Linked DNA regions of Callithrix jacchus. The protein of the gene in region 1 interacts with the protein of each later gene in a biochemical or structural test. Links are inferred from orthologs where the notes say so. Each region holds a gene or a part of one and is shown in the gene's direction. Other genes may lie near its edges. The genes, in order: ITCH, ERBB4, CDC34, SPART, HNRNPUL1, SMAD3 and UBE2K.

Region 1 (4,250 bases):
TCTGAAGGGTGAATTTTTTTCTTTTCTTTTTAATTATGGCCTTTAATGTACATGGTTAAAGGCTAAGGTAGGCCAGGTGCAGTGGCTTGAATCTGTAATTCCAGAGATTGGGAGGCTGAAGGAGGGAGGATTGCTTGAGCCCAGGTGTTGGAGACCAGCCTGGGCAACATGGCGAGACGGTGGCCCCATCTGAACCCCATCCCATCCGAACCCCACCTCACCCCATCCCTGTCTCTACAAAGGATAGAAAAAATTAGCTGGGTGTGGTGGCGTTCACCTGTGTCCCAGCTACTCAGGAGGCAGAGGTGGGAGGCTTGCTTGAGCCCAGGATTTAAAGGCTGTAGTGAGCTATGACTGTGCCACTGCACTCCAGCCTAGGTGACAGAGTGAGACCCTATCTCAAAAAGAAAAAAAGAAATGAAGAAAAAGAAAGGAAAAGAAAAAAGAACAACTAAGCTATATAGACCAGTGGTTCTCAAATTATGATCTCACTCATAGTAGCATCACTAGAAGAGCTTGTTAGACATACAAGTTATCAGACCCTATCCTCCTTATCCCAGATCTTCTGATCAGAAACTCTCGGGGTGGGGCTCAGCAGTGTACGTTTTTTTTGTTTTTTTTTTTGAGGCGAAGTCTTGTTCTGTCACCAGGCTGGAGTGTAGTGGCGCAATCTTGGCTCACTGCAACCTCTGACTCCTGGATTCAAGCAACTCTTCCGCCTCAGCCTCCAGAGTAGCTGGGACCACAGGTGCGTGTCACTACGCCCGGCTAATTTTTTTTGGATTTTTAGTAGAGACGGGGTTTCACCATGTTGGCCAGGATGGTCTCGATCTCTTGACCTCGTAATCCGTCCGCCTCAGCCTCCCAAAGTGCTGGGATTACAGGCGTGAGCCACCTCGCCCTGCCTTTTTTTTTTTTTAAACGGAATCTTGCTCTGTCACCCAGGCTGTAGTGCAATGGCATGATCTTGGCTCACTGCAACCTCCGCCTCCCGGGTCCAAGCTATTCTCCTGCCTCAGCCTCCTGAGTAGCTGGGACTACAGGCACGCACCACCACACCTGGCTAATTTTTGTATTTTTAGTAGCGACCTGTTGGTAAGGCTTGTCTCGAACTGCTGACCTTGTGATCTGCCTGCCTCAGCCTCCCGAAGTGCTGGGATTGCAGGCATGAGCCACCGCGCCCGGCAAGCAGTGTAAGTTTTAATAAGCTTCCTAGGTAATTCTGATGTACATCAGAGTTTGACAATCACAGTCGCTATAGGCTCTGGTGGGCGAGGCGTTAAAAGAAAAAAGCCTGGATGTGTAGAAAATTGGGATTTAGCAGGATTTACCACCGCTGGCTCTTCAAGCCCGGGGCTGGCCGGTCGGCTAACGCGCAATGCCTCCTGGGGCTTGTAGTCCAGATCACTCCCGCGCTCAAGCGCCTGCGTATTGGCTGCTAACTCGCTCTGGTAGCTGTGGTCGGGGCTCGAGACCGGCTGCCATCTTAGTCTAGGGACTGAGGAGACGCCGCCGCCCCGAGTCCCGGTAAACACCCGTGGGCGAACTCGGGGCAGTTTTCGGGAGAGGGAGGGAGTCCCGATGAGAATGTTCGGGGAGAAGTAGGGCAGAGGAGTGGGACGCGCGGGTCGGGACGCCAGAGCCACGGTTGCTCCTTCTCAGAGCCGGTGTCTGGGGGGCGCGGGGAGCTCGGGCTACCGGCCCGGGTCGGGCCGTGGGGGTGGGTTGGCCGGACGGTCGGAGGGATCAATGCCAGGCGCAGGCTCCCGGAGGCCCTCGTCTCGCGGGCTCCAAGTTGTGAAAGGGCTAGGCCACGACGGGCGTGGGCAGTGTCCGGCCCCTCGCCCCTCGGCCCTTCCTGGGGCCACTCTCCAGCGGCTCGGCCTACGAGTGGGGTCCCCGCCGCCGCGGGCGACGTGGCCCTGTGAGGGGCGGCGACCGGGTCCCCCGCCACCCGGCTGGCCTTCCCGAGACATTTCCGAGCCCCCTGTCGCTAGGAGGGGGCCCAGCACAGCGGCCGCCTCCCCTTCTCTCTGTCCCGCTCCCCTCCTCCTCCCATTGTCCCCTCGGCAGGGTGGTCCTGGCCCCGGCGCTCACCCCGACGCCCGACGCCCGCCACCGCCGTGGCGGCGCCGACTTTTGCAGACGTGGAGCTGTCACTGCCCCTCCTCGGGAGAGTGCCCTTTGCTTTAGCAGAGAAAAGAAAAAAGTAGCCGTTGAACGTATTCTAAGGGCCAAAGCATGATGACATGACTTTCAAGGGGGGAACTCAAGTTTTCCCAGACTTGGTTCCCGGCCGCGGCTTTAAAAGAGAGAATCCGCGCAGGATTAGTGCTCCCGAACTAGACGTTGGGCCTAAAGTTAGTCCGACGTGTGATCAGCTGAACTTGTAAAGTGCCAGAAAGTCACGATCCCCGGTAACAACGACACCTTGTTTTCTTGGTTGTGTTCGTACCCCCATCTTACTACGTTTTCTGCCATTCTTCCACAGCGGCAGTGTACTTGTTTTGGAGTGGGGGGCGGGGAAGTGTGGGATTTTGCCTTGACAACTGGTAAGACACTGGAGCCAGCCATCTATCATTGGACTTAGCTGGGTTCTCCCGCATCGATTCCTAATACGATAATTCGATCTTCAGTACGTGTGTATGGCAGTGTATGTCAAGGTAGTGCATTTCCATTCTCAAAATCAGCTAAGGAATGGTTTATCCGTTGAGGTGAAGTTCTCATGACAGGTCTGGTGAGAGCCTGCTGTGTGTATTTATAGGTTTATTTAAGCTACAGTTCATTTTTAAGATTAAGAAATAGGATGGGCGCGGTGGCTCATGCCTGTAATCCCAGCACTTTGGGAGGCCGAGGCGAGCGGATCACGAGGTCAAGAGATGGAGAACATCCTGGCCAACATGGTGAAACCTCGTCTCTACTAAAAATACAAAAAAATTAGCTGGGCGTGGTGGCGCGCGCCTGCAGTCCCAGCTACTCGGGAAGCTGAGGCAGGAGAATTGCTTGAACCCGGGAGGTGGAGGTTGCAGTGAGCCGAGGTCGCGCCACTGCACTCCAGCCTGGCGCCTGGTGACGGAGTGAGACTCTGTCTCAAAAAAAAAAAAAAAAATTAGAAATGAAGGTGGAAATTCTGCTTCAAAGACTGTGAATGTAAGTTTTGTGAGTGCAGAAGGAATTCCATTATGTTTAGCATATAAGGCAAGTCACCAAGGATATGATATGAAATTTAAAAAATGAGTACTGACTACTTCATTGTATTCTAGAATCAAACATTTCTACATTTTTTTTTTTTTTTTTTTTGAGACAGAGTCTCATTTTGTCACCCAGGCTGGAGTGCAACAGCACGATCTTGGCTCATTGCAACCTCCACCTCCTGGGTTCAAGCAATTCTCCTGCCTTAGCCTCCCAAGTAGCTGGGACTGCAGACGCCTGCCACGATGCCCAGCTGACTTTTGTAATTTTAGTAGAGTCAGGGTTTTACTATATTGGCCAGGCTGGTCTCAAACTCCTGACCTTGTGATCCGCCCACCTCAGCCTCCCAAAGTGCTGGGATTGCAGGTTTGAGCCACCACAACCAGCCACATTTCTGCATTCTTTTTTGAAAAAATGCATCTTTACATCTATTGGGAGAAACAGACAAACCAGTAGTCCCCAATTTGACTGTTAGAATAATTATGAGATTATGAGAGCTTAGAATTTCCAGAGCCTCACCTTCTGAGATTGACTTAGTAGGTCTGGGTTGGCTCCAACAAATTTATTTTTAACACATGCCTTAGGTAATTCTAATGGTCTTGGAAACCACTCAGGGCAAATGTTACTGTAGACTTACCAAGGAAAGCTCAGAAAGCTTTGAGACAGAAGAGGAAGTGGCCAATTCCGTGTGTGTGGCAGGGTGGAGGATTGGTTAGAAAAGGCAAGATTTGTCCCTGAACCCACATTGGGTCTTAGATGAAGAGTAGGAATGTGAAAAGGGCACGGAAAGAGGATAGGGTAGGCAGAGGGAATGCCTTAATGCTGTGTGTAAATTCAGAGGATTATGGAACAAAAAGAGTTCAGTGAGTAGGGAGTAGAATGGGGAAGGAGAGCATTTTGAAACACAACATCAGAAAGGTTAAAGGAAGCAAGTATATGAAAAGTTCTTTTTTGTTTTTGTTGAGACTAGGTCTTATTCTCTTACATAGTCACCTAGGATGGAGTGCAGTGGCAGGACCTCCAGAGCTCAAGTAATCTTCCCACTCCAACCTCCCTGA
Region 2 (4,082 bases), on another chromosome or scaffold:
GGGCTATAGATAAGAGAGTGGGAAACAGAGATCAAGATCTCTAATGAAAAGCAGGGTGGTTTGATTTTTAAGCTCCCCTGATACTTTTTATTTATATATTTGCTGCTTCTAGAAAAACCAAAAACGGAAAGTAATTCATACATAGAATGCCTGTACAAATAGCAAACCAATAACCTACTACCCCCAGGAGATTCTGGCCCTTGCCAGGGTGCAGTTTCATAGCTGTAAAAGGCAAGGGATATGTACATTGAAATGACCCAGTCCCAGAATATTTAGATTCAGAAAAGGTCAGAGATGCTCATAACTAGCAATGGCCTCAGGACTGGGGAGCCTGAATGCAGAGTGTGGACAAGGAAGAGGCCTAAAGCTAGGTCTACTATAGAATAAACAGAATCATTTAAGGTTAATAATGTTCTGATGTGTCCTTAAATTCTCTCAGGCTTGAGACAATTTCTAGCCCTTTAGGATCAAATCAGTGGCTTTGGACAAGAATCTGCTTAATAAGAATGAACTCCAAAGGTGAAAAACCCACAAAATCTAAAAATCAAAGGATAAGGGTTTATAAATGTGAAATTTTAGTTTGGCTCAATGATGGTCAGTTTGGAAATGTGGGAAGAACCAGAGAGATGGCATAACTGGGGCTGGAGCCAGGGTGGTGATTGGTGATTATACACCCACAACTACCTAACCGCAGGGGCTACCAGTTACTTCCTGATCACACTACTTTCTAATTGTGGACCATGAGTGGCAGAGTGCTGCAGGAGGAAGCTTTTTGCTGAAAGCAACATTGAGTTTCCTTTTATTTCTAGAGAAAGTCCTGTCTGTAGAGGAGCATTGGGGGGCAATGGAAAAAACGCTGCCTTCTTGTTTAAAAAAAAAAAAAAAATTTTTTTCCGTAAGCGCCCCTCCGATGGTCTGTTCACTTCGCAGGCCAGCTGTCCCCGGCCTCTGCCAGGGCGGGAAGAGGAGTGCTTCAGTGCGTGGCTTCGGATGAGCCCTTTAAATCCAGCTTCCCCTGCCCCCACCACGCGGCTCCCTCTCCCTGACAGGTGTTTTCCCAACTCCGGAGGCCCTAGGATTTTGGGGAGTGGCTGAGCCAATAAGATTTCCCTTTTGGGGGGGGGGAAGGGCGTGGCTAGTTGGGTCAGAGCATGGGCGGGGTTTGAGCGGCTGAGCAGAGCCTGCCTGGTTGCTTGGAGGGTTGTTTTATTCCCACCGCCCCCCACCTTTTTTTTTTTTTTTTTTTCTGGAGTCTTATTAATTTCTCTGTGGGGCTGCAGCTGGAGACCGCGGAGCGTTGGAAATGACGCTCAGAGCTTTAATTACTGCAGCCGCCGGACAAGTGTGAGGAAAGCTGACAGGAAAAAGAAGAACGGGATCCGGGGAGAAGCGAGAACCTCCCCCCGCCCCGCTCCCCTCCCGATTTGGACTGAAGGTGCACGGAAACTGAAGAAGCAGCCCAACATAGCCCTGCTGTGGGGAGAGGCCGGAAACCTACCGCCTCTTTGCAATCAACTTTTTTTGGAAACCTTTCTCCCCCTCTTCCTTTTTTATTGTTGACCAACCAGTGAGAGAGAGAGAGAGAGAGAAAGTGAGAAGGGAGCGAGCAAGTGAAGGCTCACGCGGGGAAATAGCTGCACAGTCCGGCCCGGAGCGCCACGCGCACACAGGCGCTCACACTCGAACGCACACTCGCCCCCTCCTCGGGCCCCGGCCCTGGACCTGCCGGCGTGGACTCTGTCGCCCGCCCTGGGAGTTGCTACACCGCGCGCGCCGCGCCCGCCCCCCTCGCGCCCCCACGCGCGCCCGGCTGTGGGATCTCCTCCGCGTGCCCGAAAGGGGGATATGCCATTTGGACATGTAACTGTCAGCACGGGATCTGAGACTTCCAAAAAATGAAGCCGGCGACAGGACTTTGGGTCTGGGTGAGCCTTCTCGTGGTGGCAGGGACCGTCCAGCCCAGCGCTTCTCAGTCAGGTGGGTTCCTTCTGGCGCTCCGGTTGCCAAACCTGCCGCCGCCGGAGGGGCTGCCTCGAGTGGCTCCCCTGCCCTCTTCACCCATCCCGGGAGGCGTGCAGGGACCGCTTGACCGGGGGCTCTCGGTCGCCCCTCTTTCCACTCGAAACTTACCCTGTATGTGTGCGCGAGCTTTGTTTACCGCAAAAATCATTCTCAGCCCCTGTCCCTTTTTTTTCTCTCCGTAACCCCCTATGTTTCTCTCCCGAGCATTTTGTGTGGAGCCTAAGCGGGATCCCTTATGGTGGCGCCTGTTGTTCGGGACATGGGAGACGGAAATCCCCAGTCAGAGGAGACTCTCCTGTCCCACTCTGGGCTCTCGAGGGAAGAAGCCGCTCCACCGGGGCCGCGGAAGGGCTGGAGTCCCAGGGCGGTGTTGGCTGGGCCTCTCCCGAACCCAGCCTGAAGGGAGGTGGAGAGTGGCGCTCCGAGAGTCGGGCTGCGCACCTGTGTGTGCTGCCGGCGGCCTCTGCGCCCCAGTCACCCGAGCCTTGTAGGGTCAGACGCGACTAGCGCCCAGCCGGGGCAGCCGAAGTGCAGCGGGCTGGCCCTCTTCGGCCCGGGGACCGGAGCGCCGGGCCTCCTCTGCCAGCTTCCCGGAGCCCTTGCCCCAATGACTTCAGGGGCGCTTGCTGGCCTGCCTGACCTTGAAAAAAGAAAAAGAAAAAAGGGGGAAAAAAAGGGTTGGCACACTCGAGCCAGAAGCCCGGCCTTCCCGTCGGTTGCCGTGTTTGGCTCCGGGAAGAGTTCTTCCTGTAGTTCTACTTGCTGTTGGCCGGAGTCCTTCAAACTTGTCTGTTTACTGCCCCGCGGTGCTGCCCAGCCTGCGGGTCACCGGATCCACCCCAGGCGCGAGCAGCGGCGGCGGCGGTGCTGGGTGCACGGCCACTGCTTGCTAGAGAGCTCGAACCCCAGGTACCTGGGCAGGCAAAGGGCTCATTGACCCCGAGAGACAGCGCGGCGGGGCTGGCGCACCACGGCGTGCAGGACTAATGACAGCACCTGCAGTGCAAGGGAGCTCAAAGTTTCTGACACTTGAGTTTCTTGGGATGAAAGTGGGACAGGAGAGGTCTGAGGAGGACCGCTGTCTGACGCGGCCAAGGGGTGGCTTTTGGAGAGCCAGGGAGATTTCCGAAACCATCCGGGGCTGGTGACTGGAGCGTGGGAGGTAGCTCGAGGTGATAAAGCCCCCGGGAGTGGCGATAGGGAGAGCTTTAGGCCCCTGTAGGGTATCCTGACCTCACCAAGAAAACAGCAAGCTGTAGTTTTCCCGCTCCGCCCCCGCCGCCGCCGCCACCTCCTCCTCCTTTGCCTAGTAAATAACAAGTTACAATCATCGAGCCTTTCAAAATGACCTTCGAATGGCACATGTGCGGCGTTTGTGCTGGCGGTTTGCACCCTCCCAATTACTCCGAAATTCTTCATGCATACCAGGTCCCGCGCTCCAGCCACCTCCGGAATCATACCAACACGGACTTGACATTCCAAGCGGCCTCTTAGATACATCTCTTTTTATCTCCCTCCCCACTTCGAGTCCCTTCATATTTCCCCTCAATGGGTTGATTATGCACATTGACCCATTCAAAGGCAGTGGCGACCGACATGCAGGCTTAACCGAGAGGAATTTCTACGAGGCGACCTACTGGGGACTGTCTGGTTCAGCCTCTGCCATTGGGGGACCCCGCTCCGAGTCCGCAGCAATTTGGTATTAACTGTGCGGCTCCGGGTTGAGCTATGCCGAAAAGCCCTTTTCAGAATTTCAGCAAGGAATGTAATCCAAATTAGTTCTGCAGCTGTCCTCTTCCTCGGCTCAGGCGACACCAGCTAGCGTCTCGCTCCTCTCTTCTCGTTTCCCTGGGCGAATTGTCAGACCCACAAGTGAGCCCATTTAGAGCGCGAGGATTAGCGTGCCATTGTTGTTCCATGTGTGACTCTGTACTTGAAATTCTGGGGGCACAAAGGCGAGTCTCACTTGTTCAAAACACAAAGTGATCCAGATGAAAGGGCCGCACAAAGAAAAGCTCTCGGGTGCATCCCTGGTATAATTGCAACACGCATACTAAGGT
Region 3 (4,084 bases), on another chromosome or scaffold:
TTTAGGGCAAGGAACAAGTGGGTGTCTGGGCAGACACTCAGCCAAAAGTCGGGTGGGGTCACAGTGAAGCCCAGCACCAGGGCCCACGCTGGGAGCAGGGAGCAGTGGGTGGGTCACGTCTGTAATTCCGGCACTTTGGGAGGCTGAGGAAGGCAAATCACTCTGTTAGTTCAAACTCCACCCTGGCCTTCCTTTCAAAACCTAACACACTTGAGGTCAGGAGTTCGAGACCAGCCTGGCCAACATGATGAACCCCTTTGTCTACTAAAAATACAAAAATTAGCCAGGTGTGCTGGCCGAGCGTCTGTAATCCTAGCTACTAAGGAAGGTGAGGCAGAAGAAATGCTTGAACCCAGGAGGCGGAGGTTGCAGTGAGACTCTTCCATTGCACTCCAGCCTGGGTGACAGAGCGAGACCCTGTCTCAAAAAAAAAAAAAAAAAGACTCGGCTGGGACAAAGGTCAGCCTGGGAAGAGGGCACAGCCAGGCAGGGGTTCAGCTTGGGGTGGGGGATCCGTGGGGCTGAGGTCTCTCCCGGGTCAGGCGCTGAGCCGATGCTGGCTGGACTGAGTCCGCCTCTTTCCCCGTTTTTCTAGGGAACAGGGACCCCTCGGCAACCTCTGATGGCTCCAGCGCCTGCACCGGCTCACACCACGTGGGGACTTTCACCGGGAAGTCCTCGCTGTCTCCCACCCCTCGGAGCCCTCCTGACCCCGCCCACTTCCCAGAGCCCCCGCGGTGCGGGAACCCGAGGCAGCGCTGCGCCCGGAAGCCGGGTGTCCGAGTCCCCGCCGGGCGCCTGGCTGCCACCCGTCCTGCCCTCCGCGCGCCCGGCGTTCCCCAGGACAGACTTCGCGCCCGTCCCCAGTACAGACTGGGGACCGGAAGCCGGGACGGACCTTCCGGCCCGGGTCAGGACACCACCCCGCGCCGCGTTCACCGCCCGCGGCCCCGCCCCGTGCCGGAACGTCACAAAACGACCCCAAAGCCCGGGGGCCGGGCCGGTGGCGGCGCAGCACAGCTTTGGCTGCCTCCCTGCGCACAGCATCTGCGGTGCTGGTGGAGCTGGGGCGACGGCGGCGGCCTCGGGGTCGAAAGTGCCCAGGACTGTGCGCTCGGCCACTCCATCCCGGCGGCGGGGGCGGTAGGCGGGGCCGGGACGGGGACTCCATTTCCCGGCGTGCCCCACGGGCGGGCGCGCAGGCGGAGGTCGGGCCTGGCCGCGGCGCGCAGGCGCAGTCCGGGCCCGGCGAGGCGCGCAGGCGCAGCGGGGGGCGGGGCGCGCGGGCCGGGCTGAGGCGGGCGCCGGGTGGTCTACGGCGGCAGAGCTGGTGGAGCGCTCGGGGTCCCCGGGCGGCGGCGGCGGCGCAGAGGAGGAGGCAGGCGGCGGCTCCCCCCCGGCCGGCGCGCGGCCCGGTCCGTCTCGCGAGCTCGCGGTGGTCCCGCCGCCCCGCGCGGCGCCGACCCCGGGCTCCTCCGCCGCCGCCGCCATGGCCCGGCCGCTGGTTCCCAGCTCGCAGAAGGCGCTGCTGCTGGAGCTGAAGGGGCTCCAGGAGGAGCCGGTCGAGGGCTTCCGCGTGACCCTGGTGGACGAGGGCGACCTGTACAACTGGGAGGTGGCCATCTTCGGGCCCCCCAACACCTACTACGAGGGCGGCTACTTCAAGGTGAGCGCGGCCACCCCGCCCCGGTCCCCGAGCCCGCGAGCGACCTGGGGCGCCGGGGACCCGCTCCCTGCCCCGCAGCCTCCTGGCTCGGGCTTGTTTTTTCCTGCGGCCACGGGACCCCCCGCCCCCAGCTCTCCGGCCCCTCCGCGGTCACTCTCGGGGTCCTCGAGGATCCCCAACTCCCCGGAAGGCGCCGTCCGGCCCCCTGTTAGTTTCCCGGGCCCCCCCCCACCCCGGATCACCGGGCGTGAGACTGTTGCCGGCCTCCTCCTCGGGGGGCTCGACCCCGGCAGCCCTGCGGGAAACGGGGAGCGTAGCCAGGGCCGCCCCGGCCTTCCTGCCGCCTCCCCCCTCCCCGCACGACCCCGCAGCTGCCATTGTCGGGGAGCGAGGCCAGCCTGGGGGCGGCTGGCGCGGCCTCTCGCTCGGGCTCCAACAAAGGCCCGGACGGACTTTGGCAGCCGGGACCTGCCTGGAAGGCGGCCACCCTCGCCGACAGCAGCCGGGCCAGGCGCCCTGGGTTCCGGCCCGGCTTTATGTAACCTGCGCGCTCGGGGAGGCCGGGGCAGGGGCGGCCTCCCGCCTGCTCCCCGCAGCTCTCCGCGGCCCCGGCTCCGACCCCAGAAGCTGCGCGCTCCGCTCATCCCAGCTGGCCTGGGCCTCTCTCGGGTTCCGCGGAACAGGTGGCTTCTGGTGGCCCGGAACCCGGGTTGTGGGCCGTTTCTTCCGCCCTCTGGCGGCTCGATTCCCAGCGGTTTCCCGGTGTTTTTGTTGTTGGGAGCTGGGAGGCTGCTTCCGTCCCGGGTGAAAGGGATTCAGGCCACAGCCTGGGCGCGTTTCTTGATCTCTCCGTCCAGACGTGACCTTTGACTTTAAAAGGAGTCACAGGACTCTGCTGTTGGGGCCAGAGGGGCAAAGCGAGGGGCCCCGTGTCAGAGGTGGGGAGCGAGCGCCCTGCCCAGGATGCCCCCTCCCGCTGCCACTGCCTGCCAAGAGCCTGGGCACGGCCCTGCCCGCTCTGCCCTGGCTGGAGGCCGGGTGGGCAGCAGAAGCCTCAGCCCGGCCAGCTGTGGGCATGGGGCCGAGGGGCTGATGCCTCCCACGGGGTGAATGTCTGTGCTCTGGGCCGCTTAAGTCTGAGCAGCGCCCACTCAGCGGCTGTGAGGGCAGCAGCCTGGTCTGCTGGGGGTGATTCCTGAGCTGAGGTTCTGGCTCACAGCAAAGGGTGGGACGTCCTGGGTTCTGCCTCTGCAATCCTGTGTCCCCCCACACGGGGTTTTGGGCCTGCAGGTTGCCAAATGGTTTCTGCAGCCCCCCTCCCCCAGCCCCTTTTGTCTGCTTGTGGGAGCAGCTGGCTGTGAGGAGGGGCAGTTCCACCTCGAGGCCAGGCCTGTGAGGCGGCTGCTGTTCTGGAAGGAAGGGATGCCGGTTTCTGGCTGCTGCCCACCAGACAGGTTGCCAGGGATTGTGGGCAGAGGCTCCTGGGCAGTATTAGGGGATAATCCAGTTTTCCGGATTTCCTTGGGAGGGGGCCTCTGGACATCTGCCGCAGGGTCAGTCCTCAGAAGCCAGTGTTGAGACATGGGGGTGCTGCCCCCACCAGGACCCTCCCTTCCCGATGTGCCAGGGCAGGAATGGGGGTTATGTAAATCCAGGAGCTATGGAGTGCCAGGGCCACCACTGCTGCCCAGCCACTGCCTGCAGCTGCTGCGCCTTCAGGTGCCGGAGTCAGCCCTGAGGCAGGCATTGCTGGAGAGACCCCTCTGCAGCTAGCTTGCTGTGTGCCCTTGGCGGGGTGCTTTCCCTCTCTGAGCCTGGATTTGCTCCAAGTAAAAGGCGTTTTTAGAGGTGCTTAAAGCAAGAGGCTCATTGGGACTTGGTGGGGTTTGGTACAGATGAGGCAGGTTCTCTGTGCTGCTGTTGAAGCCTCAAGCCCAGCACCAGGCTTGGCGGGGGCCTGAAGTCTTGGGGAACTACTGGGCAGTTCTGAGGCCAAAATTCCAGCCTTCCTCTGTGGCCTCAGCCAAGCTACTTGCCTCACGGGACCCCAGTAAGTTCCCTGTCAAACAGAGAACATCCCCCAAGAACCCCTGAGTGCCCATCCTGTCCAGGAGGGGCCTTTCCAATGACTGGCTTTTGGGGAGTGCTGCCCTGAGCGCCTTGGAGTGCTGAGTGCCCCCAGGACCCCTGACCCAGACATGCCTGGCGTGCAGCCAGCCAACAGAGAGGCTTCTTTCCTTGTATACCTGCTGGGGCCCGGGAGGGCCGTGGATGACATCACGCCCCAGGCCACAGGCCAGACCGCTCTGTCACCCAGCACGTGGCTGAGCTCCTCATTCCGTGGCCACCCTTGCCAGAAGGCTGGGCGGCCGTCTTGGGAGATGCTGATGGGGAACAGGTCCTGCCAGGCTTCTGTGA
Region 4 (3,500 bases), about 150 Mb from region 1:
TTTCTCAGTTTTCAAGTTCAGCTGATTTCTTCTTATAACTTTTCAACTTATAAGTTAATCTAAAAAGATAATTTTTTTAAATGACTTCTTCAAGCCTTTTATTGTTTATGGGCGCCTGTTTGATTGGGTTTGAATCCTTCACTTCCCCAGAAGTTGATTGTCAGGTAGGACAGTGTGGGCAGGCTTGGAACTGGAGGTGGAGATGTTGACTAAAACAGGAAGAGAAACATAAAATTTCTAATTATTTATTACATGCCAATTTTAAAATCAACTGGTATGATAGCTGGATGCTCACTCATGGGTTGGAGTAATCATATACAACCATGCCACAGACCTTGAGAGAACACTTAAGTATTTCATATGTTTAACTTTGAAAGCTTATTGTTAAGGGTTAGCTAAAAAAGAAGTATTTTTCAGTTGGAAGTCTCTGCAAAGTAGGGTAGTACTTTTTCCCATCTTAGGGGACACTGTTCTTGTATATTTTTTCTTTTCTCATCCCTCTCCCGCTCTTCCTTTCCCCACATTCCCACTGACTCAGGACCTTTTGTCCTCACTAGAGAAGGCCCTTCCATCCTTCTGTTCCTCTAGTGAGCACTTCTGTCATTCAAGCTGTGAGAAGCATAAGCAAACCAAAGGGCTGGGCCACTGTCATGAGGAATGGCTAAATTATCTGGGCCTCTCTCTTCTCTTGTAGATTTTCTCTGCTCATGCATTTGGGTGTTGCCATGTTTATGTCACTTGTAACAAGCTAAACGGTGCTGAGATCCAAGAGTTTGGGTTTAGGATTGAGAAGGGAACAGGACCCCCTGACTAATGCTTTCAGCCTAAAGGAAGTAAGAGTTCTGCCTTGGTGTTTGAGATAACAGATTTCCATTTTGTGATGTTTCTGTCTTTCTCCCTCAGGATTTCATGGGGAAAAGTGGTGCCTGGCCTAAGGCAAAAAGACCAACAGTGTCTGGGTTCCTTAGCCAAATCCTATTTTAATGGCACCAAAACTCAAAGTTAATACCTAACAGTAATATACTGTGGTAAGTAACATACAGAGATACCTACAAGTTGTCGTGGCAGCATAGAGTAATGCAGAACTCTGTCACTGAGTGACATGTGACCTAAGTATTCATATATTAGTTAGAAAAGGTATATATTCTAGGAAGAAAACTGTAGGTATAAAGTTAGCTTGAAAGTTTATGACGTGGCACATTTAGCATCTGATTATCAAACTCCTTTTATTTTTTGCTGGTTGATGTTATTAAAGTGTTTAAAAGTATAATTAGACCTAATATTATGGTATTTTAAAATTTTCTTTTAAAAAGGTGCTTCCTGGGTGAGTTGGGGTTTAGTCAAAGGTGCTGAGTTTACTGGCAAAGCCATCCAGAAAGGTGCTTCTAAGCTCCGAGAACGGATTCAACCCGAAGAAAAACCTGTGGAAGTTAGTCCGGCTGTCACCAAGGGACTTTATATAGCAAAGCAAGCTACAGGAGGAGCAGCAAAAGTCAGTCAGTTCCTGGGTAAAGTAATTCTAGATAATTTTACTTCTTTAAAGTTAAATTTAAAATAATGTCTTGGTCCAGGTTTAATCTACATGTTCATTTAGATGGTTTAATCTCAAGAATAAAGAATCAGGACAAAGCAGTTTCTCTTTGTTATTCATAGTGGGACCTGCAGACCAGCAACATCACATGGGCCTGTCTGGAAGGCTTAGAAATGCGGAATTTTAGGTACAGACACACCTACTGATTCAGAATCTGCATTTTCACAAGAGATCCCTAGGTGATTCTTATTTGCATATAAAAGTTTGAGAAACTGGTTAAAGGGTTGTGTTGATGTGTTGGAGTGGAGAATGTGTGTATCTTTGAAAAAGAGTTCTGAATGTACAGTCATGTATTGTTTAATGAGGGGAATAAGTTCTAAGAAATGTGTCAGGTGATTTCATCATTGTGTGAACATCATAGTGTATACTCACACAAACCTAAACGTTACAGCCTCCTCCACACCTAGGCTATATGATATAGCCTGTTGCTCCTAAGCTACAAACCTATACAGCATGTGACTGTACTGAATACCATAAGAAATTGTAGCACAAAGGTAAGTATTTGTCTATTTAAACACATGTAAACATAGAAGAGGTACGGTAGGACAGTAGGAGTGCAGTATAAAAGATGAAAAATGGCTTAAAACCTAAGAGAGCACCAACCAGGAATGTCACTTGCAGGACTGGAAGTTGCTCTGAGTGAGTCAGTGAGTGAGTGCTGAGTGAATGTGAAGACCTAGGACATGACTATATGCTATTGTAGACTTTCTAACTGTACATTTGGGCCACACTAAATTTATTTTTAAAACAAAGTAATTGCACTATGATGTTAAGGTGGCTGTAATGTTACTAGGCCATGGGACTTTATTAGCTCCATTATAATCTTATGGGACCACGAAATGTCTGAAATGATCAAAAGGTCATTATGCAGCACAACTGGATGTGAACCCTTGAATCCTTCTAAGGGATACGACATATTCTTTCAACGAGAACAGTTTATTGCCTAGCAGTTGAGGGTCAAGAGGGAGTTGTTGTTTGAGAAAAGCTGACTTAGTGATTCCGGTGCCAGCCCTCCCAAGCAATATACTTCTAACCCCTTGCTCTTAGAGAATCACAGCACTGAAATTTGGTGTTTTGAGATGGGTAGATAGGACCTTAATGCATTATCATTAAATTTAGTAAAATTATCTTTTTTGTTATATAGTATTTTTTGAATCAGATCTTGGATTGTTTACTTTTATAGAATTAAATACTTTACTGTTATTTCACTGAGATCATGGAGATATTTATTGGTAGAAAAACATGAATACACGAGGCCAGGTTCAGTGGCTCATGCCTGTAATCCCAGAACTTTGGGAGGCCGTGGTGGGCGGATCATGAGGTCAGAAGATCAAGACCATCCTGGCTAACATAGTGAAACCCTGTCTCTACTGAAAATACAAAATATTAGCCGGGTGTAGAGGCACGCACCTGTAATTCCAGATACTCAGAAGTCTGAGTCAGGAGAATCACTTGAACCCGGGAGGCGGAGGTTGAAGGGAGCCAAGATTGCGCCACTGCACTCCAGCCTGGGTGAGAGAGCGAGACTCCATCTCAAAAAAAAAAAAGAAAAAGAAAAAGTGAATACATTAAGCTGGAAAAAACTAAAAGTACTGACCAGTCTTGCATTGTAGCAGTCAAAGAAAAGGCAGCTGGTTTTCTCAAGCAGAAGTACAAGAACATGCATATCTGAGAGGCAAGGTTATAAACATTGGTAGGCTCTGCAGACACAGCTTTAAAACAAACAAAAGCCATTGTTTAAAAAATAGCCAGTCTGTGCTACATGCCTGTAGTCCCAGCTACTCAGGAGGCAGAGGCAGGAGGATCAGTTGAGCCCAGGAGTCCAAGTCAAGGCCAGCCTGGGCAACATAGTGAGACCTCTGCTCTAAGCTTCATATCCTTAAATAGAAATTGTAACATTATATGGTAA
Region 5 (3,500 bases), on another chromosome or scaffold:
GGCCATTATACTCCAGCCCGGGCAATAGAGTGAGACCCTGTCTCAAAAAAACAAAATTCTATCAATGCTAATGATGACAGCACTTGGTGTTTTTTTGTTTGTTTGTTTTTGTTTTTACAAAGTCCTGGGATTACAGGCATGAGCCACCATGCCTGGCCAGCCCTTGACTTAATGCTTACCCTGTCCCAGGTGCTGTGCACAGAGTCTGACAAGCCTTATCTTTTTGAATCCTGATACCAGTACTGTGAGGTAGATGGTGTTATTGCGTCCACTTTCCAGAGGCAGCCGTAGTTCAGAGGTTCAGAGTCACACTCACAGTCACCAGCGAGCCAAGTGGTACCACACCACCATGCTGCAACACCTCCCCTGTCTTGTTCTTGTATTCTTGTAGATTCTGATGATGGTGGGCCTGCCTGCTGCTGGCAAGACCACATGGGCCATCAAACATGCAGCCTCCAACCCTTCCAAGAAGTACAACATCCTGGGTACCAATGCCATCATGGATAAGATGCGGGTAAGGACAGTTACTGGACTCTCCTTACTCATTTCCCACCTACCGAGTGCTGCCTGCAACTAAAACCACTTACCCTCACCACTTCCTGCCTGCAGGTGATGGGCCTACGCCGGCAGCGGAACTATGCTGGCCGCTGGGATGTCCTCATCCAGCAGGCCACCCAGTGCCTCAACCGCCTCATCCAGATTGCTGCCCGCAAGAAACGCAACTATATCCTAGATCAGGTACTTACTGATGACCATTGTGTCCTCAGGAGAAGGGATGGGATCCCTGCCATGCCTGGGAAGCCCACTCTGGTCCCTTTTTTTCTTTCCCGTAATGGTGATCGACTGCTGTGCTAGTCGGGGGGGGTCAGACTGTGTCATACATGATGTCATGTCCTAGACCCAGCTGAATCCGCACTGGGATCTAGGCCTACTTACTCAGACTCATCAGCAGCCCCAAAGAATATCAGGTGAGAACTGTTTGGCAAAATGGAAGAAGTATGGATTTCTGAGCCTGACAGACTGGGGCTTGAATCCCAGCTCAGCCACTCCCTAGCTCTGTGCCTTTGGGCAGCTGACTTTATCCTCTAAATCTCTATGTCTTTGTTGGTAAAACGGGGATCACTATAGCATCTGCACACCTGACACAGGACCTGGCACTTAGTAGCTGGTGATTATTGTTAAATACTCTGCAGAATAAGTAGAGTACCTTTAATTCCAACAGCAGTGCTGTAAGGTAAACGCTGTTACTGCTTCCATCATATTCTCTTCACAAATACGGTGACTGGCAGGTACATACCTAAGTCATATTTTCTACCTACATTTCAGTTAATAGTGGAGTTGTTAATATCAGGGGACCTGAAACCTTTGCAATTGAACATAAATATTGTATGCAGGTGCAGGTATATCCTTTTTACCAAAAAGAAGAAAAAAAAACCTTACATAGCTTTTTGTCCATATCTTTCAGCATTCTCAAAAGGATGAGTGACCCAAAAATCGTTACAGATTCCTGTGTCAGAGTAATGAGTTCCACATGGTTATTGCCTGTGCAGCGTCATACTTGACATTTGTCCTGAAGGCTTTCACAAGTAATAAAGGGTGTTTCCTTATTTTCTATATTTGGATATCTGAATAAGCCTCTGTTCCCTTCAGCCTTGCATTTGTGGTTTAAGGACCTGTGAGTGAGCAAATAATGTAAACTGAGTAACACCCTGCCCTTGTTGCCTTCCTGAAGTACTTTCCATACAGCTAGGCCTGGGTACTCGGTGACCATGAATTCAGAGAGTTCCTGATAACAGTGGAGGTGGTGACAGTGGCTTTGTCAGGATGGTAGTTGGCTTGTTGGAAAGGAATTGCCTAGAACCAAGTTGCCTTCATGTAGGAATGAGGATCCTACACAAAACAGTTGAGCACAGGGTAGTCTAAAATCCTTCCGTGGTTATTCCCCCAGTTTTCCTCACTTTGCCTGATCCTTCTTGTCAGGGCATTTTAGAATTTTAGTCTGAATTGACCCCAGTTGGATTTGTTGTTGGGAAAGGCAGAGCAGTGACACCATTTTAACACAGGATATATACCTCTTTGGACACCCCAGTCAATGTTCCCTGCCTGTCTTTTTCTTGGTTTGCTGGTTATATCAGCTGTGAAACCCATTTCAAATATGTGGCCCTGGGGGAGAATGATTATAGTCTAGAGTGGATCGTCTAACATCTCTGTCCAGGATGCTGAAGTGGCTTTTCTCTGGAAGCCAGGCCCATGTCAGCTGCGCACTCTGAAGACTTACTGTCAGCCTTCTTGGCTGCTGCTGGCTTGTTCAGGGACAGGGTCTAGGGCTGTACCAGGTATGTCTGTGGTCTTCAGGGCTACCAGCCTCCTGCTGAAGGGACATGTGGGTCCGGCCAAGTGATCTGGGCCAACAGTGAGACAGAGAACCTAAACTCTGAAGGCTGGGGAGGAGGGTTCTCTGGTTAACCATAGATTGGAGGATTGACTCGGGGCCTGAAACCATAGGCTACTCAGGCTGAGGGAGGGAGTGTAAAGTCAGTGGTTTCACCTGTTTTGGCCTAAATCCCAAAAGTGGGTTCCAGAAAACTCTGGTTATGAGAGGGAGGGAGAGGGAAGTTATGTGTTTGTGTATAGAAGGTTCAGAGCAAGCCTCTGGCCAATCCTGGCACTTCTACTCCACCAGCTTTGGCAGTGATGGGTAAGTTGATGATGCATAGCTGTCTCCTGGGCTAGGTGGAATTTCCAAAGGGGAAACCCATACTATAGGCAAAGTCCCTGCAGTTCCTGAACCTCAGCCCAGAACCATGTTTTGCCTTCACTGGTTTTTCCTGAGTGGTCAGACCTCCCCACATTTGGCTCTTCTGGGCCTCCTGTTAGGTAGGTTGGCCTCAGAAATGCCTGTCCTTGAGAGAGAAGGAGAGGTTGACTGCAGAAGCTAGGTGGGCCTGTGTAAGCCAGGATTCTGCCTTTGTCTGGCCTGGACTCTAACCCACACCCTTGGATGTATGTTATTGGGCACATGCTCTCAGGTATATTGGGGCTTTGACTTACATTCTTTGATAACCTGAGTAGCCTCTTCAGATCATTTGGGCATCACAGCTGTGGAACATCAGAGGAGAAAAAGATAGAAAAGAGGTGGACCAGGGAGGAAACCTAGGCCTCTACAGAGGACTATAGGACTGCTAAGCCACACAGCCAGTGTACTGATAGATCATAGCTCTGCTGACTTCCCAAGCAGCCATAGGCTAGAATGGTTGGGGCCATGATGGGAATTTGGGGAAGCTTTCTGGAGGTGGAATGTCTGGGTCAGGACACAGAGGATGATTAAAAGAGCCGGGGCTTTGTCCTGAAGGGAGTGGGGAGTCATGGTCATATTTTCAGCTGGAGGAATGTAGATAAATTTGCCTGGCTAGTAAAAGGCTGCAGAGGAGAGGGAAAGGGGGAGTAGAAGGCCACATTGCTTCAGGTGGCTCTTCAGGGTCTTCTGTTGGAGGTAGGAA
Region 6 (3,500 bases), on another chromosome or scaffold:
CCTAGACCCCAAAAGGGGATCAGGGCACTCTGTCCAGCAGGGGCAACCAGGCCCCTTCCTGTGGGCAGAACAGCTTTTGACTTTTCTCTCTTGGGCTCCACATACCTTCAGTAGGTCTGATGAGCAGAGGTCCCTGGTGGGCTCTCTCCTAGACATTGCCCGGCACCCAGTGAGCAGGGTTCTCAGGCCAGGGCTGAGATGTGAGCATGGTGAGTCTCTCCTGCTCCTCCTGCATCAGAGCCCTGAGCTGAAGGTTGAAGAGAGGGAGGAGAGATGTCAGCCTGGGCCCTAGGACCCCGTGGTCAGGTTGGACAGTCAGGATGCTCACATAGAGGTGCACCCTCAGTAACTGGGTGGCTCCAGGTATGTTTAAGAGCCAGAGGGACTTCAGAGCCAGGCTGAAGGTTTGAGATGGAAGAGTGCAAATGAGTAGGGGGGACTCCCTGATTCTTCAGCACATGGATGGGAATCAGGGATTCAGGTAGGCATCAGGCAGAGTGTGTTAGGCTCAGGGCTCACACCTGGCAGTCAGTGCAGCACAGAGCAGTTGGAAATGGCTGGCATGGGGTGCAAGGCAGTCCTGGTCCAGAGGCTGTGGCATCAGTGTGAGTGGGAGTTCCAAGGGCACAGCGCCACGGCTGCTGGGGCAAGAGAAGGGCGAGGAGGCCCCAGGAAATGGAGGGCTGGGAAGTGTCCAGTGTGAGGAATAGCTACCATTTACACTTCTGAGAAAAGGCAGCAGCCCCTTGCAGGGTGGCAGTTTTGCTTTGAGGAGCCCCTGATGGAGGCTGTACAGACAACTGGGACCAATCCCAACTTTCTTCAGCCGCATTTGTGTCCTAGCCACCCCAGCAGCCAGCATCTAAGTAAATGTGGAAAACAGTTTCTGTGATAACAGACGTGGCCCCGGGCTCAGTCTGCAGACGATGCCTGGTGTGTCCACTGTGCTGATGTGGTGTGCCTTTGGAAACCCACTCAGCTGCTGTAGGCTTGGAAGGTGCTACTCCACAGGCCTGGAGTTTGCCCCTAAGGCTGTGCTGAAAGCCCTTTTAGGGGCAGGGATTAATGTGGGTTACTCTGGGGATCTTGCAAGAGAGGCTGGGAGGTGACCGTGCAGAAGCCATGGCCTGCCCCATGGTGAGTGCAAGCAGTGGCTGCCCCAGGTTCATCCAGGTACTGGGAGGTCCCCTGGTCCTCTTCCGGTTTGACCTAGCCCCTCCTTGAAGACTCCCTCCATCCAGTCAAGGCCAAGCAGGTGGGGCAGGACCTCTATGAGCTAAGAAAAAAAAAAAAAAATCAATGGCCCTTTACACCGATACCATGGCAAGGCTGACAGAATCTCCTCCAGACACTGGAGCATCTTGTTCTGGTGGGTCCTGCCAGTTTTATACAATAAAAGGCATGGGGTAGGAGAGATTATTAATACCCTCTAAAATGCAGGGAAATGGTTTTCCAGAGCTTCCATGGGACCCCATCGAGGGAGCATGGGCCTGGGGCACCCACTGACCCAGGAGCCTACTCTGTGTCCGCAGACCTGCAGCCAGTCACCTACTGCGAGCCAGCCTTCTGGTGTTCCATCTCCTACTACGAGCTGAACCAGCGCGTCGGGGAGACGTTCCATGCCTCGCAGCCATCCATGACTGTGGATGGCTTCACCGACCCCTCCAACTCGGAGCGCTTCTGCCTAGGGCTGCTCTCTAACGTCAACAGGAACGCAGCAGTGGAGCTGACGAGGAGGCACATTGGTATGGGCTGGCTGCATCCCCTGCCGTCCCCATCCTGTCCCCACTGCTCTATCCCCCCTGCCAGCCCTAGGCCCCAGCACACTCTCTGCATGGAACCCTGCCTCCATCCTTAGCTGTGCTCTGCCTCCTGCTGGGAATGGGGGAAGACTCACTGCCCCGAAAGGACCCCACATTCTCTGTTGCCCTGTTTAGGGGCCAGATGGGTAGTGTTCAGGCCAGTTGATCATTCCCACTCAAAGATACAATCTCGGAAAATCTGGAGGCCACAGAGGAAAATACTTCACTTAAGGGATCCAGAAAGGAGCATCTATGAGAAAGGCAACATATGAAATCTTTTTTTTTTTGGTGGGGAGCCACAGTCTCTCTATCCCCTAGGCTGGAGTGCAGTGGCATGATCTCGACTCACTGCAACCTCTGCCTCCTGAGTTCAAGTGATTCTCCTACCTCAGCCTCCTGAGTAGCTGGGATTACAGGCACCCACCACCACACCCTGCTTATTTTTGTATTTTTAGTAGAGATGGCATTTTACCATATTGGCCTGGCTGATCTCAAACTCCTGACCTCAGTTGATCCACCTGCCTCAGCTTCCCAAAGTGCTGGAATTACAGGTGTGAGCCACTGTGCCCGGCTGAAATCCTCTTAATAAAAATACCCTGAAAGTACAGATGGATAGGTTGATAAGCAGGCAGTCATTGTTGGAAGAGTGATCTTTTATTTTCATGTATTATTATTCTAGACAATTTAGGTAGAAAACAATTGTTCACTATCCAAACACAACTACTGTGAACATTCTGCCTTCTAGCCCCCAGAACATAAGTAAAAGATGACTTTGTGAGTTTAAGGAAGATGAAGCTGTGTTACGCTTCACTTGGTTTGCTTATGAAGTTACCGTGATTAGAGGATTTTTAAGATCCAGGATCATAGACTGTCAGAACTTAGAAGGGCTGTAGAGAGATGGTGGAGTGAGGTACTCTCAGACCTCATCCTGGAGCCCCAAGGGTTGGCCGAGGGGTTCCCAGGGCAAACTCAGGAGCTGGACAGGTCAGCAAAGGGAAGCCTGGCCCCACGTGAACCAGAGCACCTCTGCACTCGCTTCATCTCTCGTGCTCTCACAGAAGACTTCATTTGAAGAGAGGACTGATTGTGTAGCGAAGAGAAGAAAAGTTTGGAGGCCATGGGCCTAGGTCTGTGCTGTCATTTTCTAGGGAAGGGACCTGATGTCTGGTGGGGGTGGGAGGAGGGTCAGGGCTGCTGGCTCTGCAGAGACTGGCATCGTCACTGACAGATAGCCGCCACTACGAGACCCGTTATTCCTATTTTGCTTTTTGTTTTTCACTTTAAGAAAGATACTTATTCTGGGTGGCATACCACTGTTTGATTGATTTAGAGATAGTCTTGCTATGTTGCCCAAGCCAGTCTCCAACTCCTGGGCTCAAGCCATCCTCCCATCTTTGCCTCCTGATTATCTGGGACTACAGGCATACACCACTGCAACTGGCTTTTTCCTATGTTTCATATATATATAATTTTTTTTTTTTTTTGAGATGGAGTCTCACTCTGTCACCCAGGCTGGAGTGCAGTGGCACAGTCTTGGCTTCAGATACCTAGGCATCTTGTTATGGTGGGTCCTGCCAGTTTTTTTTTTTTTGTTGTTCTTGTTTTGTTTTGTTTTTAAACAGAGTCTCACTCTGTCACCAGGCTGGAGTGCAGTGGTGTGATCTCGGGTCACTGCAACCTCTGACTCCCTGGTTCAAG
Region 7 (4,239 bases), on another chromosome or scaffold:
ATCATTATTACTATGAGCCTTAGAAACCACTCTAAAAAAAAAAAATTATTATTATCTTTAGAGATGGAACTTCACCATGGGGCCCAGGCTGGTGTCCAACTCCTGGGCTCAAGCGATCTGCCACCATCGGCCGCCCAAAGTGCTGGGATTACAGCACTGAGCCACCGTGCCCGACCAGAAACCACTTTCAAACTGACTTTCCACTTAAAGTATTTTGCACTTTTTGTTCTGTTTTGTTTGAGACAGATCTGTCGCCCAGGCTGGAGTGCAGTGGCCCGATATCGCTCACTGCAACCTCTGTCCCCGGGGTTCAAGCGATTCTCCTGCCTCAGCCTCCAGAGTAGCTGGGATTGCAGGCGCCCGCCACCATGTCTGGCTGATTTTTGTATTTTTAGTAGAGACGGGGTTTTACCATGTTGGCCAGTCTTGGTCTCGAACTCCTGACCTCAAGCGATCCGCCGTGGCAGCCAAAACATTTTACTCTTACGTGTACTCATTTATTCATTCAATATTTATTGAGTGCCTACTAGCACCAGGCACCTTTGTAGGCCTAGGTTTACAGAAGTAAAGCTCCCCTCCCCCACCCCCAGTGCCCTGAAAAGCACTATAATTGTTTCTATTTCTCCAATTTTCACTTTTATATGAATTTTCACATGCTTTAGTTCAGACATGGGCACAAGAATGAGTGAGAGAGAGAGTGTGTCTTGGGGCCATCCTACACTCTAGGGATGGGCACAGGAGTGAGTGTGTATAGGAGTGGGAGTATGTGCTCGCGCGCGCGAGTGTGTGTGTGTGTGTGTGTGTGTATCAAGCTCTGTATTATCTAAATAGGTCAAAGATCAACATCTGGCTTCTAGATCCATCATCAGGCCTCTCCACGTAATACCTGTCTCAAACCGGATCTGATTCAACAATAACCAGCCTTAATTCAATAATCTGTGCTACCTGAGATGGTGGGAATAATCTTGGTACTATAAATGTTGCAGAACAAAAACGACTGCAGCGGATTTTCTGGGGCTACACCAACTGAAAATGGGCCGGATCGAGTTCCGGGAGAGCGTTTTCCTGCACTAGACGTTTTCCCGCACCCGGCGTTCAGCCACCGGGTTCCGGGTCTAGCTGAGTCAGGAAGGCGCTCCAGCCGATTGCGGCCTCGGGAACCGTTCGGTTGCACCCGAACCTTCGGTCAGAGTCCAGGGGTTGGCAGCCCGGACCACAGCACCCGGGTTTAAACAGAAGTGGAGGCGCCGGGGAGGACCGGCGGTCCCGGCCAGTTTGGAAGGCGCACCCTCCCGGCTCCAGACGCCGGCAGGGCGGAGTCAAGCGGCCGCAGCCCCAGTCGAGACGCGCGCTCGTGGCTCGGGCGAATGGGGGCTACAACGGGAGCGGCTGCGCCGCCCGGCCGGGTCAGCATCATGCGCATGCGCGGACCCGGCGCCATTTTGGTGGCCGGGCGCGGAGGTGATTCCACACTGAGGAGAGCGCGGTGGCCGGGGTGGTAGTGGCAGTGTTCGTGTGCTCGGGTCTGAATCGCTGAGGGAGGAGGCGGTGGAGGAAGAGGTGGCGGCGGTGGCGGTGGTCGTAGCGGTGGCGGAGGAGGCGGGTACGAATCAGCTGCGGGCGGAGACATGGCCAACATCGCGGTGCAGCGAATCAAGCGGGAGTTCAAGGAGGTGCTGAAGAGCGAGGAGGTCAGAAATGAACTCCCGGACATCCCCCACCTCTGCCCGGGCGGGAGGGTCCTCCCAGCGTGACCCCGATATCCCCGGTAGTCCCTGGGTGGCCCTCCTTGCGGCCGCCCTTCTGCCTGTGGGGAAGCAGTAGTGCTCCCCTCCTCCTTCCGCCGCCTTCCCCTCCCCTCCCACAGCGCTAGGATGGACGGTCTCGGCGGGCGGGGGGTCTGGGGTGGAACACAGTTTGGGGAACTGATGGACAGGGGGGAACTCCTCGGCGGGATGGAAGCTCACGAGAGAACCCGAGGCGGTGGCCACAGCTGGAAGTGTGGCTCTGGGGTGGGGAGGGAGCAGGCCGAGCCCGAGAAAACCCGGGAAGTGGGTTGGGGGAAGGGGAAAGGTGGTAACTGTATCCGGAGGAGCCGGTGCTGCTCTAAGGCCCACACTTTTGAGGATATTCTGGGTTATTGCCTGTCAGGCCGTCACCGTCCTTTTCTTAGGGAAGGAGCGGTGAGTCCTTAGGTATCGATTAAAAAGGAAGGACATTCAGAGTTAGTCCTTCTTAGTTGGGTGTTAGGAGTCAAGGGGAGAATAATAGAATACTGTCTTATTCGGTGGCAGGGATAAGGGAATTTTCACCTCTGTTAGCAAGTTAATTCCAAATGAGATCGTTATGTCTTTTCCACTTTACCCCCAAATTCCTAGGCCTCGTCTTTATCGACATCTCAGTCTTTGAGTGGGCAAAGGCAAGGTGTTTGGTGTATTAAAGACATTTAAATATTTTTAGTTAGAAAAAAAATGGAATGTAAGAGTAGCTTATTTCAAAATATTGTTTACAAGTTACAGATCAGAGAGACTGTCCTAATACAGTACCTCTGTGACTAGTGTTGTGCCACGAAACTTCATTATGATGTCCCTCATAGTTAACTTGATTCTTACTTTTGAAAAGTAGACCTATTAAAAACGTGTGCTTTTACCAGATTAATACACTGTTTTATCTCTTTATTGAGTAGATTTATCACGATATAGCAGATTTTCAAAAAAATTGCCTCCCGTTGCTCTTAAATCCTGCAGAATTTAGATATATTAGTACGTTTAAGTAAGATATTCACAATGCTCTAGTAATTTGACTCAGAATTACATAAGTATTAGTACAGTTTTTCATACCAAAAATCAACAAGAATACCAGATTGCCTTCCCCACAAGGATTAAACAAAAAGTAATACAGAAAATGGTTATTTTCAAGATTCACGTACCATTATTGAATATATCGTTGCTTTTGTGTTTTTTCTTTTACGGTTAGTACTTCGATAATGTCGATAGTGATTAGTGAAATTCAGCATTCTAAGTATGTGATGAGTAGACATGAAGAAAAAATTGTTTAAAATTCAAAAATGACAAATAGGCTTCTTGAAAGTAGTAGTATGTAAGTCATGATCAGTTTTACAGAGCATGTGTATGAACTCTGACCTCTGTTCATATGCCAAAACTCTGAATGGAAGGATGACTTTGTATTTTGTGGTACAGTGCAGAAACAGAGTCATAAGTGTTTGTATTGATAACAGTGAAACAGCAATTTTAACTTAATATGAAAATGTATTCCAGGATATTTGACATATATACTTCTAATGGAAGATAGCAGCTAATATTGTTGCCAACAACCTAAAACATTTCTTGTTTAATAAGGTTGTAGAAGCTTGAAACTTAATAGACTTTTAATGCTTTATTTTCTATTACTGAAAAGTGGTAAGTTACTACTCTAGTAATTTATATGGTCTCTGCTTTTTATGAGCTGACTTCACCGTGGTATTCTTAGTACTTAACTTGAAGATTACCAGAAATACTTGTATTGCTCTCTAGTAATGCATATTGTTAAAATAACACTGCTCATTATACATAAGGGATGATGGTTTACTTCAAATAAGTATCATAAGCGTTTCAGAAGAAGAAAATAGGGACGACAAACTTTTTTTTTTTTTGAGAACAGTACCTATAGAAATATGGAAAGAAACTTCTTCTAGGAAAATAAGTTGCAAAGAACATTTAGGAAAAGTTCACATCACTTAATCTTGGAATAAATATAACCAATAAATAGCTTATTTTCACCATTATTTTTTGACATTTTAGTGTCCCAGATCTATAAGTAGATTGTTATTTTCAACTCATTGAAGGACTTGTAGTACAGTCCATGTGTTTCCTTTTTAAGGGTGTAAATCCAGTCTTTTGAATGGCTGATCAAATAACTATTTCATCATGTCACTTTTTTGGTAAATCTGCACTTTACCAAAGTTTATTTCATATGCTTGTGTGCTTGTGTTTAGTAAGAACACTGGTTGATTTAAGGACTTTTTGGGGTGGCCTTTTAAGTGTCTTTGTAGAGATAGCTGACGCTTGTTGGATTGTGGTGGCCATTCTTAGAGTGTGTTAATTAAAATACAGCCAACAAGATAAATGTGAAAAGCAAGATACAGAATAGTGTGGGAGAGGCCACCATTTGTTTCAAATGGAGGGGAATATGTGTATTTGCCTGTGCAGGTAAAAGGTTTCATGAGAAATTGGAAAAATT

The links.
Region 2: the proteins of ITCH (region 1) and ERBB4 form a complex in vitro, tested with the Homo sapiens proteins (2 studies listed by BioGRID, with this or other methods). The link is inferred for Callithrix jacchus from reciprocal best matches to the Homo sapiens genes ITCH and ERBB4.
Region 3: the proteins of ITCH (region 1) and CDC34 form a complex in vitro, tested with the Homo sapiens proteins (3 studies listed by BioGRID). The link is inferred for Callithrix jacchus from reciprocal best matches to the Homo sapiens genes ITCH and CDC34.
Region 4: the proteins of ITCH (region 1) and SPART form a complex in vitro, tested with the Homo sapiens proteins (2 studies listed by BioGRID). The link is inferred for Callithrix jacchus from reciprocal best matches to the Homo sapiens genes ITCH and SPART.
Region 5: the proteins of ITCH (region 1) and HNRNPUL1 form a complex in vitro, tested with the Homo sapiens proteins (2 studies listed by BioGRID and IntAct, with this or other methods). The link is inferred for Callithrix jacchus from reciprocal best matches to the Homo sapiens genes ITCH and HNRNPUL1.
Region 6: the proteins of ITCH (region 1) and SMAD3 form a complex in vitro, tested with the Homo sapiens proteins (2 studies listed by BioGRID and IntAct, with this or other methods). The link is inferred for Callithrix jacchus from reciprocal best matches to the Homo sapiens genes ITCH and SMAD3.
Region 7: the proteins of ITCH (region 1) and UBE2K form a complex in vitro, tested with the Homo sapiens proteins (2 studies listed by BioGRID). The link is inferred for Callithrix jacchus from reciprocal best matches to the Homo sapiens genes ITCH and UBE2K.

Annotation. Positions count from the first base shown.
Region 1 is NC_133506.1:4,928,753-4,933,002, reverse strand, and holds the start of ITCH (E3 ubiquitin-protein ligase Itchy homolog), read left to right. Parts: upstream 1-1,450; 5' UTR 1,451-2,417; intron 2,418-4,250. UniProt on the Homo sapiens protein: Acts as an Acts as an E3 ubiquitin-protein ligase which accepts ubiquitin from an E2 ubiquitin-conjugating enzyme in the form of a thioester and then directly transfers the ubiquitin to targeted substrates.
Region 2 is NC_133507.1:134,244,910-134,248,991, reverse strand, and holds the start of ERBB4 (receptor tyrosine-protein kinase erbB-4), read left to right. Parts: upstream 1-1,282; 5' UTR 1,283-1,895; coding exon 1,896-1,977; intron 1,978-4,082. UniProt on the Homo sapiens protein: Tyrosine-protein kinase that plays an essential role as cell surface receptor for neuregulins and EGF family members and regulates development of the heart, the central nervous system and the mammary gland, gene transcription, cell proliferation, differentiation, migration and apoptosis.
Region 3 is NC_133523.1:497,938-502,021, forward strand, and holds the start of CDC34 (ubiquitin-conjugating enzyme E2 R1), read left to right. Parts: upstream 1-1,284; 5' UTR 1,285-1,489; coding exon 1,490-1,666; intron 1,667-4,084. UniProt on the Homo sapiens protein: E2 ubiquitin-conjugating enzyme that accepts ubiquitin from an E1 ubiquitin-activating protein, and catalyzes its covalent attachment to other proteins by an E3 ubiquitin-protein ligase complex. In vitro catalyzes 'Lys-48'-linked polyubiquitination.
Region 4 is NC_133506.1:155,563,591-155,567,090, reverse strand, and holds part of SPART (spartin), read left to right. Parts: intron 1-1,313; coding exon 1,314-1,508; intron 1,509-3,500. UniProt on the Homo sapiens protein: Lipophagy receptor that plays an important role in lipid droplet (LD) turnover in motor neurons.
Region 5 is NC_133523.1:36,576,152-36,579,651, forward strand, and holds part of HNRNPUL1 (heterogeneous nuclear ribonucleoprotein U-like protein 1), read left to right. Parts: intron 1-391; coding exon 392-514; intron 515-609; coding exon 610-738; intron 739-3,500.
Region 6 is NC_133509.1:14,230,896-14,234,395, forward strand, and holds part of SMAD3 (mothers against decapentaplegic homolog 3), read left to right. Parts: intron 1-1,532; coding exon 1,533-1,745; intron 1,746-3,500. UniProt on the Homo sapiens protein: Receptor-regulated SMAD (R-SMAD) that is an intracellular signal transducer and transcriptional modulator activated by TGF-beta (transforming growth factor) and activin type 1 receptor kinases.
Region 7 is NC_133504.1:154,118,684-154,122,922, reverse strand, and holds the start of UBE2K (ubiquitin-conjugating enzyme E2 K), read left to right. Parts: upstream 1-1,439; 5' UTR 1,440-1,628; coding exon 1,629-1,691; intron 1,692-4,239. UniProt on the Homo sapiens protein: Accepts ubiquitin from the E1 complex and catalyzes its covalent attachment to other proteins. In vitro, in the presence or in the absence of BRCA1-BARD1 E3 ubiquitin-protein ligase complex, catalyzes the synthesis of 'Lys-48'-linked polyubiquitin chains.